Drosophila melanogaster: one gene and its partners. The protein of the gene in region 2 interacts with the protein of the main gene of each other region in a pairwise test. Each region holds a gene or a part of one and is shown on either strand. Other genes may lie near its edges.

What was found.
Region 1: the proteins of su(r) (region 2) and CG8778 interact in a two-hybrid assay, tested with the Drosophila melanogaster proteins (one large-scale study listed by BioGRID).
Region 3: the proteins of su(r) (region 2) and ect interact in a two-hybrid assay, tested with the Drosophila melanogaster proteins (one large-scale study listed by BioGRID).

The regions. Positions count from the first base shown.
Region 1 is NT_033778.4:12,650,391-12,654,191, forward strand, and holds CG8778 (uncharacterized protein), read right to left. Parts: upstream 2,098-3,801; 5' UTR 2,016-2,097; coding exon 1,694-2,015; intron 1,631-1,693; coding exon 1,053-1,630; 3' UTR 911-1,052; downstream 1-910. Other genes in the region: ZnT49B (zinc transporter 49B), read left to right, coding at 2,798-3,668, 3,721-3,801.
Region 2 is NC_004354.4:9,195,984-9,203,975, reverse strand, and holds su(r) (suppressor of rudimentary), read left to right. Parts: upstream 1-2,155; 5' UTR 2,156-2,356; intron 2,357-3,779; 5' UTR 3,780-3,798; coding exon 3,799-3,843; intron 3,844-3,902; coding exon 3,903-6,707; intron 6,708-6,765; coding exon 6,766-6,923; intron 6,924-6,997; coding exon 6,998-7,085; 3' UTR 7,086-7,168; downstream 7,169-7,992. Other genes in the region: CG12118 (uncharacterized protein), read left to right, coding at 7,874-7,992.
Region 3 is NT_037436.4:10,198,116-10,203,279, forward strand, and holds the start of ect (ectodermal), read right to left. Parts: upstream 3,411-5,164; 5' UTR 3,288-3,410; intron 1-3,287.

The sequences.
Region 1 (3,801 bases), on a different chromosome or scaffold from region 2:
TCATAATAACGAGTCAAAACAATAAATAATTGATTTGCTTCCGCAATTGTCTTCCGGATCTGCCTTCTCGTCATGTCTTGGGGTCAACTCGGTACGAAATGGACGCATCGAGCACTGAGTAATTAATTAATTGACTAATTAATATGCACACTGCGCAGCTTGCCGGTTGAGATTTTGGATTTAGATTCCTACATTTCGGATATACACAGCTTCTGCCAACGAAACTGACCTTGCCCGATGTCAAACACCCGCGACGCATTTTTATTTAACGGCCACAGGCGCGAAATTCGATCATGAATGGAGGTGAGATGGTGACGCAATTTAGATTCGCAACCAAAATCTGGGCTAGTGGGGGTGCGCGCTCCCAGTCATCCGCGTGACAACTTCCTTGACTAACCGGTTAAATCTTAAACGGCGGCTCCACAAAGTGAATTTATTTAGCGCCTGTTTTGTGTCTTGTTGCTCCAGGTGACAGAACCCAGTTGTTTGGGCAGGCCCCAAAAACACAATAAGTGTGGCGGGGCACGCCCTGTAATACAAATATTTGCAGCATGCAAATTACCTGTTTTACAAATGACAAACGAAGGCACACTCATCTGGTAATAAAAACTGCCACTTGTAGGTTGATTTGCCATGCAATCACACTCAGCTCGCATGACAATAGAAAGTTTCTAACTCTGGGATTCTCAAGAAATTCCGATTTCCGCATAGTTCGACGACAGAACTATCAAGCTGAACCTTGCATCTAATTTGCAGTTCTATGCTGGGCGAATTCATGTAATGCAAATAGGAGTGTATGTCGATCGGTCGTTTTTAATGCCTGTAATTAGTATTCCCACCCATGTCTAAATTGAGATGCGTCATCACAGGTATTAAAAATTGTTTAGCTACAATTAGCGTCATTCAAGTTATTTGGCAGCTCGATAGGATCGAATGCTTTTAATAAAAACAATTGAACTGGACTTTGCCGCTTAAGTGTTTCTACAACAGTAACAGGTTAAATAATAAATGCAATTTTCAGCTTAACGTTAGGGGAGTGGCACGATATCTATTTACTCCCCCTTGTAGACGGGCTTCCGCTTCTCGGCAAAGGCAGCGAGTCCCTCCAAACGATCCTTAGTGGGTATCACCTGCGAGTAGCAGATCTCTTCGATGGAGTAGCCGGTGGCCAGGTCCACCTGCATGCCCTTGTCAATGGCCAGTTTGGCCATTCGCACGCCCACTGGCCCATTCGGGAGAATTTCCTCTGCCAATTTAAGTGCCTGCTGATAGGCGGCATCCTGGGTTTCGTTCTGTTTCACTACATGGTTAACCAGACCCAGATCTTTCGCCTCTGCTCCGTTAAACACTCGTGCCGTGAAAATGAGTTCTTTGGCCAGAGCAGGGGACAGAATGCGGGGCAGTCTTTGGGTGCCACCAGCTCCTGGTATGATGGCTAACCTTGTCTCCACCAGACCCATCTTCGTGTCGCTAGCAGCAGTCCGGATGTCACAGGCCAGAGCCATTTCCAGACCTCCGCCGAGAGCAGCTCCATCCACAGCGGCGATTACCGGCATGGGCAGCTGCTCAATGGCAATAAGCAGTCCCCTGAGCTCTTTTACAAATTCGGTGGCTTCCTCGGGAGTCATGCCTGGGATATATGTATAAGATAAGTTAGCTTTATCACAGGGATGTAAAATATTTAAGGATTAACCTTTTCGCTCTTTCAAATCCGCTCCGGCACAGAAGATTCCAGGGCTCAGACTCCTCAATACAACCACCCTCGATCCATTATCCTTCTTTATATCTTCCAGGACATCGTTGAAGGTCTCCACCATTCCCCGGCTAAAGGAATTCTTTGCTGCTGGTCGGTTTAGGCCAATAACTGAGATACCCTGCCGAGCTCCATCCAAACGCTCCACGAGAACTTCAGTTCCATCGCCATAGGGCGCTGCCGACGCCAAATTACGTGATGCAACAAGTGGCCGGGCTAACTGTCGAGCTAAACCAGACGCTCTTTTTATTAACATTGACATTTTAACGTTGAAAACAGATAAAAAGAAAGCAAGAAAAGGCAATAAGCTGATTATAAAACGACCGGCAGAAAACAGCTGTTGCCGCTGGTGCTGACAAAAGCTTAAAGCCACTATCGATAACAGTATTAAAGACACCAAGGCGGTTAATAACCGCGGTTGTTCACACTGCTTTAACATTTTACGGCATTCTTCTGACCAAATATATAAAATAGTAATATCAATGTATATGGATATAAAGATAAGCCGCTTTATAAGAATTATAATAAATGCTTTCATGGTACGAATTTTTAGATTTGCGATCTTTGTATTTATTTGCGTCTCCCACTCTTCAAAATGCTGCATAGTGAGAACAATTGATAAGCTCTGTAAGTGTGACCAAGCTGTTTCGGCATGAAAAGAAAACCACAACATCAACGGCCAAAGCACAGGCAAAAAGCGCCAGCCGGTGATGGTTAAATTTTCAGTATAAAAAATCGCCAATGTATATTTAAAGCATATTTGCAAGTACGCCCTCAACGCTCCAAGGATTGTGGCCCCAGGAACGATTGGAGCATTCCACAGAGCGACCCTATCCGGAGTAGTTACAACCGCAATTCGTTTTGCACCCGTTCCATTTGGCCCGCATGACGTAGTTTTGCGCTAGAGGAGAAACCACGGAGCACCCCCCACAATAGAAAAGAACTGATTGGAATCTATAGTGCGATAGTGACGCAGCGCGCCGTGTAAGCATTACCATATGTGTGGAAGAGATAAGCCTAATATGTATTCCTTTCCAGTGCAGGATGCTGTTGCGCGGCGTGCAGATCCTGCAGCGAAGACACCAGCACTTGGGAAAGGCTTTTAGCCAGTGCTCCTTACGTCAAGACGGCAGGAACCCTTGGAGGCGGCATGACGGCGAGGCATTCAAACTACAGCCGTGGAAGCGACCAAGCACGTTCCTTCAGTTTCGCTGCAGCGCCAATGGCAGTGATTCCAAGAAGGAAAAACCTGTGCAGGAGGAGGCCACCGCTGGTCCAGTTGCCAAGCCAAAGGAAACGAAAAACTTTGAGGTGAAGACCACAAAGGGCATCCTGTCTATCAGCACCACCATCGAGGACTCCAAAATTAACGAGATTGTGTTTGAAAAATCCGATCTGCCACCGGTAACGAAGGTGAAAGAGCCGGTTTTGGCCGCAAGTGCCATTAATCTACGTTCTACGTCTACTGGAGTAGCAACTGGTGCTGTAGGATTGGGAGAGAGCTCTGGTTCTGTTATGAATCCTCCTGAAACAGTGAAAAGCGCACCTAAAAATTCTCCGTCTGGTGCTGTGCTAGCTGAAAAGGCGGGAGAAGGTATTCGAACATCCCCACCTGCAGAGGTAACGCCTCCAGCGCCTGTGATTCCTCTAAAGCGACCCCGATTCGATTATCGTGCTTCCCTAGAGCGCAACTTTGTGACCCCCAACCGGGCCATCAGCGATTTCTTGTTGACCGCTGCTCAACTCGAAAGTCTGCCCAAGATCAAGCGGAGATCGCCGTACGAGCAGGAGCCACCCATGACTGTCTACTGGCGACGGGATGTGGAGGCTAAGGCCGTCGAAGTGTGGGGGTCCAAGGAAAATCTGTTGCGGGAGCGACTCAAGCGGGAGGTGGAGCGCAAGCAATACCAGCAGAGTAAGTGTTTTTGTGTCCTGTGTCCGTTCTACCTTTAATATGGGTGCTAAAGTCTATGACTCCGCAGATCTATTCACTGTTAAACGGCGGTTGCGTGACTACCGCAGGGAAATGGGATCTCGAACCAAAGTAA
Region 2 (7,992 bases):
AGAATTTCCTTTTTTGGACACAGTTTGATTGGAAATTTAATTACGAGCTCAACGAGGTATGACATTCCATATTTAGACCATTATTTGAAATGTTCTGATAAAAAAACGGATTATTTTTTCGCAAAAAAGGATTATTTTTTCGATATTTTGAAAAAAGTCAATATTTCCGTTTGGTTTTTTTTCTTTGTTGAACTCAGTTTGATATATATTCCATATTTCATATTTGGAAAAGGAATTGTAAATGCCTAAAGTAGTGATCAGTTTTGTGAAGAGCTACTGGGTATCCGGCCAATCGACCCCTGTTTTAGTGAACAATATATTGTAGTTGCGATGGGCGCCATCATCACTCTCCGATCTTCGGCCCTCTGAAGGAATTATACCAAAGTCTGGGATGCCACCCAAATGAGGAATGAGCGATGTGAAAATGGAACTCAGATGCTGTCCGCTCAAATTCTAATTCCTGCAAAAAGTGGCGAAAGTGAATAATGGAATCCGGCAGTCAACACGTTTCGCCCAGACGAAAAACGCATTTGAATTTCGGCATGCATTTTGTAAGTAATTTATTAACCCGCCTGCATTGTGTATTAATTAAGCGTTCTGATTTACTACGCACGGAGTGAGGTTAATCTCTGGCCCCCTGTAGTCCCGAGTTATTTATTTCACTTTAATGGGCAGCCAATGGAGGCTGGCAGGCGTTAGTGGCGCCTTTCCGGGGATTTCGACTAGAAAAGGCTACTGCAAACAACTCATTCATCTGGCCATTCAGCTAGAGATTATCCCAAGTTGATGGCCAATGTCACGGGCCAGTGCCAACTTGGAACTTGGCACTCAGAATGTCTGCGTTTTTATGGCCAATATGATTACAATTTAATGGCAGATAAATCAAGAAAAGCAAATGCTCATGGCCAAAAATAAATGCTAGGAGCACCGGAAACGTATTATATATTTTATAATAAGTTAGCAATCTAAAATGTCTGCAACATTTTAGAAAATAAGCTATTTGTATTCTTTATGTTAAACACAACACTTTAGAATGAGCATTTCAATTAAACGATTGCATACTTCTAGGCCAAGTTTATGTAAAAGCCGCGTTGATAAATAAATCCAAAAGGTAAACTGCCAAAATGCGAACTTCAATTTGATTTGATTTCAAAAATTATCCAAATGAAGCTTATAAATGTTTAGCTTTTAACAAATATGCTGGTATATTTATCAAAAATTTTATGAAAGAATAACGATATATATATAATACAAATCCTCTAAAATAGCATTCTTTTGGGCTGTGATTATATGAATGAACTGATGTAATGTGCTACAGCAAAATCTCCAAAGTGAAACTACCTGATATTCAACTAATTAATATTTATTTGCAAACTTCTATCATTCTGCAAAATGTAACATCTAATCATTCAGTAAATAATCTTTATCTGAACTAAGAAAACTGAAGAAATAATATTCATATTATTATATTTTTAGTACCATTGCAATTATTAAAGCATCTATTTGAAATTCTGTAGAAGTTCGCTCAACTGAATACTTACTGTAGTAAATTGTAAGGTTGATTCAATCGAAACTGAGAGCGAAGAGTGTACAAACAAAACTAAGGCGATCGAATAGCACACCCTGAAATACTTTATCTACACTAAGAAAAGTTCGAAAAGATACCATCTTAGAGATAAAATTGGGATAGTGATAAAATCAAATGGAAAATATAAAAAAATTTGATAAAAAATAAACCTCTTAGATACTTTTACGAGATTGAGTTTTAAATTCATAATATATAATCTTATGTAATAAATATATAAGATCTTATCTCGTTATGATTTGCGTGTTTTTCTCAGTGTTCAACAACGTTAACAACTAGACAACAATGTTTTTGCAAAGACATACCAGACGAGAACTATATATATATATATGGATTGTTTTGAGAAAATAATAAAGATATACTATTACTTACTAGCCCAGCAACTTAACTTCATATTGTTATCTCATTGCGACTCTAAAGCTATTGTGTGTAAAATCTGATAAAGACCCCCCCCCCCCCCCCCATTTGGGAGCTAGGCTACGCCCCTGTGAAATGGGAAGACCGACGTCGGCAGCGACGCCGACTGCGACGCAAAACCGAGTTAACGACGATTTGGAAATCGGTTTCCAAGAGCATTTTCAATTGGGCGTTTCCAGTGTGAAGACCAATTCGAATTTTTCGTGTTTTTTTTTTTAGTCGCCAAACCGTCGCCAGTCGATTTTCACTCCAGCTAGTGAATAGCTATTATTATTATTTTTTTTCGCTGTGCTAATCTAAAGATTCTAATAAAAAAAAGTGTTCATAAATTAGCTAATAACGTTCCTTCGATCGGTATGTATTGCGGCCACCAATCTTGGCTAAATGAGCAAAAAGAAAAAAAATTGAAAAAAACATCTAACAATCAAACGAAACGAAACCCAATTTAAGCATAAGCAGCAGCTCGAATTCTGAACTTGTTTTTCGCATTTCGCCATTAGCATATAGCATATACATATGTACCTACGTATAATGAAAACATATTCAAAAACTTGCCGGACCACGAAGCCAAACTGATAATGAACAAACAGCAGCTGGGGGCTTCAACTATTATGACAAAAACGAAAAAAACAAAATACATCTATAAAAATTCTTAATCAGCGCGCTAGAGTGTGCGCGAGAGCGAGAGGGCGCGCGGCGCCGAGGGAGATAGCGCGTGTTACAAAATATTAATTGAATTGAATTCGATTGAAGGTCTTGTAAAGCAAAGCTCCACGTTTGTGTGATTAAAATAGTTATGGCTATTCACAAAAAGCCAAGTAATTGGTAATGTGAGAATGGTTAATATGTAAAACAACTTTATTATCGTTTATAATTAGGCAATAGCTAACAGTCGGTTTACTTACCATTATTAATTCACTGTGCTAATAGATAATGAATAATGTTTACTTTGTATTAAGCACATGCTTAGAAGATACAGCTAAAGGCATACAAAACAACTTCCGCCGTCGATTTGCAACGGTGACAGTTTTTTTTTATTAAATGCGTATTACTTTACAAAGTTTCTGGCATTTGGTTCATAATATAATAATAATAATAATATTTAATAATATAATAATATTTGTGGCAATTCTCAAAGTTAAAAGGAAAAGCAACTGTAAATAGAATATGTATTTCGAAGTTAGTTTATTACTTCTTCTAAGCTGAGATACATTTAATAGATACATTTACGCCAGCTTGAGATACTTAACCTACTAGATACTTAAATGAAATCGAAAGCAGAACTTCCGAATCGAGTGCTTGCCCCATTATCGCTAAAAAAAAAAGAAGCGAAACGGGCCCCCCCGATCGTAACCTTCGCCGGTTTCTAATCTTTCCTCTTCGTGGGGTGGCACCATTTATTTTTGGGGTTCTGAAACTTTTGGTGGAAAAACAGCAGATACAGAAACGTATAGAAAACCGGGTGGTGCCAATATGCGTGCCATCATAAAGCCATCATAATCTCCGCTAGCCGTCGCAGCCTTGACTGATATGATGATAACGCCCTCATACATAAGATGATAAGACCAATGGTGTGGCATTAGTGCACTTAGATACAGCGTCTTGTCCAGGATCGATTTGGATTTCGAGTGGGGCAGCGATAAGACGACTGGGAGTCACCATTCGCGATTAGGGTATTCTGGCTGCGATGCGATAGGGATAGGGTAGTTCGCCGATCTGCACGTGGCCATCAACCGCAGTCTGTAATCCATATGTTCCACTTTCACTTCATTAACAGGTGAAACAGTGCCAGCAAGATGAGTCCGCCCCAACTTTTGAGCAAGGACTCCCCAGATATTGAGGTAGGTCCTGGATCATGATTCACTTCCCGTTGATAGTGAAAACCTTTCGTAATTCCTAGGACCTGCTGTCGCTAAATCCGCGAGTGAAGACGCAGTGCTCCGTGGTGCCCACCAAGCAGACGAAGGAGAACAAGAAGCACTGGAAACGCAATGCGGATCACGCTGCTCCGCCGTGCACCACGCTGGCCAACGACTTCTCGGACATCAAGCACACCACATTGTCGGAGCGCGGAGCTCTAGAGGAGGCGGCCAGGTGCCTCAAATGCGCCGATGCTCCGTGCCAAAAGTCCTGTCCCACGCAGCTGGACATCAAGAGCTTCATTACGAGCATTGCGAATAAGAATTTCTATGGCGCCGCCAAGGCGATCTTCTCCGACAATCCGCTGGGTCTGACCTGCGGCATGGTCTGTCCCACCAGCGATCTCTGCGTGGGCGGTTGCAATCTGCAGGCCTCCGAGGCGGGACCGATTAACATTGGTGGCCTCCAGCAGTTCGCCACCGAGGTGTTCAAGAAGATGGGCGTGCGGCAGCGGAGGACACCGCAGGCGGAGGCCAATCCGCTGTCGCAAAAGATCGCCCTCGTGGGCGGCGGACCGGCATCGCTGTCGTGCGCCACCTTCCTGGCCCGTCTGGGCTATCGGGATGTGACCATCTACGAGCGGAGAAGCTATCTGGGTGGCCTGAGTGCCGCTGAAATTCCCCAGTATCGTCTGCCCATCGATGCGGTTAACTTTGAGATCGATTTGGTTCGCGATCTGGGCGTACGCATCGAAACGGGTCGCTCGCTGGGCACCAAGGATTTGACCATCCAGGGACTCCTGTCCACCGGCCATGATGCCGTCTTTGTGGGCATTGGCCTGCCGGAACCGAAGCTGAATCCCATTTTCGCTGGCCTTCAGCCCAGCAATGGTTTCTACACCTCGAAAAACTTCCTGCCCTTGGTGTCGGATGGCTCGAAACCGGGTTTGTGCGCCTGCAAGGCAGCGGCCGGTTTACCCAAGCTCCATGGCAATGTCATCGTTTTGGGTGCCGGTGATACGGCCTTCGATTGCGCCACTTCGGCGCTGAGATGTGGTGCTAGGCGTGTGTTCGTCGTCTTCCGCAAAGGATCCTCCGGCATTCGTGCTGTGCCCGAAGAGGTGGAGCTGGCGCGTGACGAACGCTGTGAGCTGTTGCCGTACCTGAGTCCACGCAAAGTGATCGTCAAGGATGGCCTGATCACAGCCATGGAATTCTGTCGCACGGAGCAGAACGAAAACGATGAATGGGTGGAGGATGAGGAGCAGACGCAGCGCTTGAAGGCGAACTTTGTGATCTCCGCCTTTGGGTCCGGCCTGGAGGATCAGGATGTCAAGGCGGCACTAGCGCCGTTGCAATTCCGCGGCGAATTGCCCGTGGTGGACAGGGTGACGATGCAGAGCAGTGTGAAACAGGTGTTCCTCGGCGGCGATCTCGCTGGAGTGGCCAACACCACGGTGGAGTCGGTCAATGATGGCAAGGTGGCCGCCTGGAGCATTCATTGTCAACTGCAGGGCCTGCCACTGGACACGCCGGCTGCACTGCCGCTCTTCTATACGGACATCGATGCCGTGGACATATCGGTGGAGATGTGCGGCATCCGGTTCGAGAATCCCTTTGGCCTGGCCTCCGCACCGCCCACCACCAGCACGGCCATGATACGTCGCGCCTTCGAGCAGGGCTGGGGCTTTGTGGTGACCAAGACGTTCGGTCTGGACAAGGATCTGGTCACGAATGTCTCGCCGCGCATCGTCAGGGGCACCACGTCGGGCTACAAGTATGGACCGCAGCAGGGCTGTTTCCTGAACATCGAACTAATCTCGGAGAAGCGGGCCGAGTACTGGCTGAAATCGATTGGAGAACTGAAGCGTGACTTCCCCGAGAAGATCGTGATAGCCAGCATTATGTGCAGCTTCAACGAGGAAGACTGGACGGAGTTGGCCATTAAGGCGGAGCAGTCGGGTGCCGATGCCCTCGAGCTGAATCTATCGTGTCCACATGGCATGGGCGAGCGAGGTATGGGCTTGGCCTGTGGCCAGGATCCCGAGTTGGTGGAGCAGATCTCTCGCTGGGTGCGAAAGGCGGTCAAGCTGCCCTTCTTCATCAAGCTAACGCCAAACATTACGGATATCGTTTCCATTGCGGCGGCCGCAAAGCGGGGAGGAGCCGATGGCGGATCGGCCATCAACACCGTTCAGGGACTGATGGGCCTCAAGGCGGACTCCACCGCCTGGCCGGCGATTGGCAAGGAGCAGCGCACCACTTACGGCGGCGTCTCCGGCAATGCCACTCGTCCGATGGCTCTGAAGGCCATCTCTGATATTGCCAACCGTGTGCCGGGATTCCCCATTCTCGGTATCGGTGGCATCGATTCCGGTGAGGTTGCGCTGCAGTTTATTCATGCGGGCGCCACTGTTCTGCAGATCTGCTCCTCCGTACAGAACCAGGACTTCACCGTCATCGAGGACTATTGCACGGCACTGAAGGCACTGCTCTACCTGAAGGCGAATCCGCCACCAGTCGATGGTCCCTTCTGGGATGGCCAGTCACCACCCACGCCGGTCCATCAGAAGGGCAAGCCCGTTGTCCGTTTGACCGGCGAGGGCAAAGCCACGCTGGGTTTCTTTGGTCCCTACCAGCGGCAGCGCGACATCAAGATGGCCGAGCTGCGAAGTCAGAAGGGAGCTCTTTGGGATGCCGAGCAGGTGAAGGCCACTCCTCCGGCGTCCAATGGAGCACCCAATCCGGCACCAAGAATCAAGGATGTGATCGGAGCAGCGCTAGACAAGATCGGGTCATACAACAAGCTGGATAACAAACAACAGAAGGTGGCGCTCATCGATGATGTGAGTGCTGAGTTATCATTAAAGTATCCAAATTTCTAATTGCATCCGTGCTTTCCAGGACATGTGCATAAACTGCGGAAAGTGCTATATGACCTGCGCCGATTCCGGCTACCAGGCCATCGAATTCGACAAGGACACCCACATTCCGCACGTGAACGACGATTGCACGGGCTGCACACTCTGCGTCTCCGTTTGTCCCATCATCGACTGCATCACGTGGGTTCCTCAATGTCACCAGCATCATATATATACTGGTTAACTAACTATATTATGTATTTATATATTTCCAGCATGGTGCCCAAGAAGATTCCGCACGTGATCAAGCGAGGAGTCGAGGAGAAGATCTTCTACACCCACGCTCTCAGCCAGTGCCAGTAAAAGTCCCTAGTTCTACGCGAAATACCGATAGTAAATTCCAATCTATGTAATTCAATTAAATACAAAACATGTTTCAAAAGCAGAAGATGGCATTCAGTTTTATTTGCTTAAAAATACGAAAGTAGGAAAAATAACTTTAAAAAAATTACTATGTTTATTATATCACTGATGACCAATCCACTTATTTTATAATCATTTTGATTTGAAATTCGTATTTGAAATTGGCGCGCAACTCAAGCTTTTCCCAACTTTATCGATGTCTATCAGCTGATTTTGGAGACCAATTTTTTAGCAAAAAAAAACAAAAATTCTATTAATATATATTGTCTGCGAAATTAACGAACAGTTAAGCTCAAGTAGCAACAACGAAATTTACTTTAATGTTTTGAAATATATATAACATTAATTATTTACCATATTACTTTTCTCATCCCTAATATAGGCGATACTATCGAATGGGATCAGCTGTTTGTCGATATTGAAAATTTTAGTTTAGAAAAACAGAAAAACGGAACGACGTAGGAATCCAGTAGCAGCTGTGCGTCAAAAAAAACTAGTCGTCTCTACTTTCAAATAGGCAATAGATTTAATCTGAAAACAAAATTCAACGTAAAATTCTAAAGCCACATAAAATCCGGCATTATTTGAAAGCGTCTGCAGAGCACAGCACTCCAAATCCAGTTCCGCCATCCAAGGTAAGCACCATTGTCGTCGCATTGCATCTCGCATCCAAAATAGCACTGATTGCCAGCAGATTCTACGCATTTACAGAAGCATATGATATAATAATGTCTCGATCATTGAGTCGCGTATTGGGTACCATCTGGGCGCCATCCCTGTCCATTTCACATACCGTACATCGCGGATCCAACAGACTGAACGACCTACTGAGCACCAAGGTGACCAA
Region 3 (5,164 bases), on a different chromosome or scaffold from region 2:
CCCTTCTGCCACGAAGTACTTATAAACTCCTGCCTATTGAAGTCTTGGGGAAATTGCATTTACTTTTCGCACCGTTCCGTCCCCCTGGTCGCAAAGCGTTTTATCTACCATTTTTCTCACCGAACTAGGAACATTTCACGCGTCATGCCGCAGAAAAGGCAAGAACAAGAAAAGCGTTTGGGGTTACTGAATGATGGTTGGCGGGTCTTTTTTGAGGCAGGGGGGTAGGGAAGGGTTGAAAGCTAAAGGGCAAGGCAACAATGCAATGCAAAACTTCTGACAGGCGTGGGACAGAAAGAATGGGGGCTCAAGTTCTTGCAGTTCTTCAGCTTTGGCAACCACTTGGCTCTCTCTTCTTCTTCATCAGATTCTTCGTCTTCTTCTTCTTCTTCTTCTTAGCCGCTCTGGTGTTGTCTATTGTAGGAACTAACTCATATGGAACGCTGCTCCCACTATACAATATTTTAATGCCCCCATAGAAAAACGCAGCTAACCGTGTGTGCATTCTACATTAATATTCATGTGCGTGATGCTGATGCAAAAGATACCGGGCGAGGGGTACACACAGAAAAAAAGATGAAATTATTGCAAAACTAAATTATGTTCGAAAGACTAATTAGTTCAATAAAACTAAATAAACCAAATATTGTAGCATATTTATAAACAAATCTCAAATATCATAAATCTTTAAAAAACGCAATCAATCAAATCTCTAAAAGATATGTAATTGGTTCAGTTTCTCCCAGTGCATTTGGGTTGTGTTTGCTGTGCACTTGCACGTCACATAGCCAGCAAAAATTACTTAAGCCCCACTCAGGGGACCGAGTGCGATTGAAGGAGGGGATGAGCGAGGTGGAACTGGGGTAACTATTGAAGGCGGTGGCCTGAGGCGTGGCAGCTGCCACTTGATGTTGGAGCTGCTTGGCTCCTTGGATCCTTGGCTCAGCTCCAGTTCCTGTCCTCTATCCGCATTGTCATATCAGCGTCATATCAATAAATATGCAGGCCGCACAAAAGGCCACGTGCAGACAGGATTTGCATATCCTAACCCACTGCCACGCCCCCTCTGCCATGCCCACCTGCGCCAGATTTCCCACAGCTTGATATCCTTCTTTGTTCGAGTTTGTCTCATATGTTTGCGGAGCCTTGTCTTCGCAGCTGCGTTGCAGTTAATTTTCCAAGACAATGGCCCACGAGGTGGTGTAGAAAAATAAGCTTTACACGTGCCGCTTCAACGGCCACGCCCCCTCTAAATTTGCAGTAAGCGCTTTTTAGGGGGGAGCAGATGCACGGGCTGGAGTTTTTTGGGAGCTTAAATCACAGAAAAGGGGTTCGGCTGCTTAGGGTGAGGCACTTCTTTAAAAAGTCTACGACTAAAGTTTGTGGGTACTGAAAAATAGTTCGCCAAAGACTGAGAATATGTACATATGTAGATGTTTTAAGTTCAAAAAGCTAGGACAGATATGAAAATGTTTATTCCAATCCATAAACTTATAATATGTTTTTTAAAAAGTTTTTGGGTCATCAGTCAAAGTTCATGGAACTTCTGGAGCCTTATACCATGATGTTGCACAAAAATGTCCTAAATTTGCTTTAGTGCACTGTCCACGCAAAAATAGTTGCTATCGTTCTCTCTTATGTTTTTGCACTTTGCTTGCGTTTCTTTTTCGCATGCATTCGCACGTCACTTGAATTAGGACTTTGTTATCGTCACGGCGGCGCCACCTGGCGGAACAAGCTGGCAGTCTTGGCTGGACAGGGGAATCCCCTTTTCGAAAACTTTGCTGACTGACAAGCTGCATAAACTTGGTCATGAACCAGCTACTGAGCTACACAAAAATGTACGAAAAATGAGTAAAACGAATTAAAGCCACTCGAATTGCCAGCAGACTTTGCTCAGTTAATAGCTTGTCCTTGCTGCAAGTATGCACAGCCCAATTCATACGCCCCGTTGGCCGACGACGAGTGTGTTTTGTTTTGGCAGCAAAGTGCTGGCCAATGTAAACAGTGTAAACTATAACTTGGCTGAAACTGGTCGAGATGCTGTAGCTGAATCTGAAACTGGCCAGGAAACACTTAAATTAACTGCTTCAAGTCGCTTCGTATGTGGGTCATCTGGGCAGAAGAAAGCTGAGAGCCACGAGAGATGATTACTCAACTTGGTTCGCATCGCATTCTATATAGTTCGTTTTGGTTTGGTTTGGTTTTGGTTCGGTTTGGCCTGGCTTGGTCTGCTGACCGCAGAACACCAAACAACATCAGCAGCACATGTGAAAATGGAGCGCATAAAAACCAGAGAAATTGCCATTGGTCTTGGAAAGGGAAGGGAATCGTGTTGTACTCGTAGTGTATTGTACTTGGCCCTAAATTGCCGCAGATACAATTTATGACCCGGCCAGTTAAGAGTCCGACTCCGGGCACAAGTTGCCTTCCGCAGTTGAAAATCAATTAAAAGTTCTTGCCCAAGACGTTTTGGCCCGTTTCAAGGCTGCATCGCGTCGAGCTGAGCTTTATGGGCCCTCCTTTGGGTCCGAGGAAAATCAGGAGGAGGAAACTAGTGTGGGTGTGTGTCGTGGGGTCAGGAAAAACTGGGCATGCAAACGCTTACATTTCCCGCAAAAAAAATACTACAAGAGTGGAAGGTTAAATGGAACAGATCGAAATCGCTGGCATGCCGCTCCACTTTCACGTACTTTTTAGTCCAATGCCAACTTAGTCTTAAAGGATACTCATATTTTCACACAGCAAAATCGATGATAATCCTTGGTTCAATTTCACAGTTTTTTTATTGGGTACTGTAAATATTAGCAGAATTTATTAAAAACCTTTCAGCCTTTTTTAAACGCCCTTGGTCTTATTGGTTAGTTGAAATTCACTCTAGATTTCACAAGTTTGTGAGCAATATTTACGAAATCAATTAGACAATCTCATCTAAGGGAGCTGTTAATTCTAAATTAAACTGAGGTTCCAGTAATTGAAAATATAACACGAATAATTTTGTTGTAAATAACAAAAAATGTTCTACTTCTTTATCAACGAAGCAGGAAAACCAAAAGGTAGTAGGAGTAATCTTCAGAATTATTTATATGAAAATGTTCTACACTCTTCAGTGTTACAGATAATTTTATGTTATCCATTTGTAGAGGAAAGAAAAATACAAATTTATTTTTCTATATTAAAGCCATATTTCAAAATTTGCTGGCGTAGTGACACAAATTATTTGGGAATCACGGATGATCCCTCTGCTTTCACACAATGTTTCTGGTATTCGTAATCCGAAGGCTAACCTTGACTAAATATTATTCACTGATCGTGGCACAGAACCGATAACAACCGATAGTAGTGGGTTTATAGACCGATTCGCAACCGATTCGTGCGATCTCCTCGAGTTGCCGTGAAAGACTGTCGCTGGCGAACTGCTTCTTGGATGGTTTTTAGTTTTCAGTTTGAAGTTTTCTGTTTTCAGTCCTGAGTTCGGAGCACCCCCCTTCTTACTGCCCGATTCTTGGGCAGTGACTTTCTTTTTTACCGCCTCTCTTTACCTGTTTGTGTTGGTTTCTTTTTTATTTTTGTGGCGATTCGATTCGTTTCGATTCGATTCGAGTCGATGGTGGATTCTGGCCTGAGCTTGGCTGGCTCTTCAGTGGTTCGAATTCGAGTTCGGGTTTCCAACACCGGCGCGCACACAACTGTCTCGCTCGACTGACCGTCTGCAACTGATCGCTGGCAGCCAGCTCGTCTTACCAACTTACCAAGCTACCAACTTCCCAATTTGGCTCAGGAAAAGCCGAAGCTCGGCCCGAAGCGTGAATTTACATTTGGCTGCTTTCTGCGTCTTTCTCTGACTCTGACTCTGGCGCAGCTCGTCTGCTCGGCTCTCTTGGCTCGATTCTTCAATTAATTTGACGAGCTGGGCTGGCCTGGGAAAGTATTTGGCACACTAAACGGCCAGCTATAACAGTTAGCGGCTTGTCAGCCAACACTCGTGAGCTATGATCTAAGAATCCAAGACGGGCGAGTCTCGTTGAGTCGTCATCAGGGCAGCTTTATTGCAACTCTGAATAAACAAAAATTAAATGGAACAAAGCCGAGGCAATAAAACCCATTTGAATTACTGCACGAATCATAAAACTGAAATTTTCAATTACACAAATGAGAAAGCCTGGCCATAAAATAGAATTGTGTGGGATAAAATGCAGGTTATGGCTGAAGAGAACATTTTAAAACCTAATTAACCTACTTACGATCAGAATACTACTCATATAAAAAACATTTCCATTATTGAACGTTTTCAAGAGGCGCAATAAATTGTTTGTTAATTAAGAGATAAAGTGACAAGACAGGCTTAAAATATTTATTTGATTACCATAACCTTCCCTTGACCGCATTCTTTAAAGTTTTATTTGATTTATGGCCAAATCAAATTCTTTCCCTTGACTTCCTTCATAAGACCCCCTTCCCGATTAGCCATACGTAAATATTTTTGCCACCTGGAGTTGCGAATCGCAGAGTGCTATATTAATATTGATTTATTCCGGCATCGTTCCGCACCCTAACCCCATTCCGCATACTCCCGTCCGCGATCGAGCGAGCATTATGCATATATGGCCGATATATAGAGGAGCGTTCCCCAAGTGCTAATTTCTGCTTCTGTCCGGCGAGGCGAACCAGCCCATTTCAAAGTGAAATCGCAATGGGGCAGTTGGGGGAAAAAATGAGTGAATATACGGCTGATAGAAATACATCCGATGATAAATTGAGGTGTAATTAATTCGATTCGCCCTGACTGAGTGACTGACGTTTCATTTTCAGTGTCCGGGACGAGGAAAATTGACAGTCACAACTCAGAGCTTTCCCACATACTCGGGAAATCGGGAAAATTGTTGCTTCAGTTGACGTCGCCGGAGGCAGCGCAGCCCGCTGCGGCAGCGACGTCGACGGAGGCAGCGAGAGCGGTAAAGTCCAACAGTAAAACGTGTTCTACTCGTTTATGGCTGCTTCTTCTTGGGCAAAAGTTGTTTTTACTGTAGTGTAGCTGTCTATAACTTTCTTCTTGGCCAACTGTGAGCCACTGCGAGCCAAGTTAACTGGCTGTATGGCATACTAGAGTCTCTCTGTTAACAGGTCAGTGGAGTTTTCTTAAACTTCCAACTTCAGAAACCGA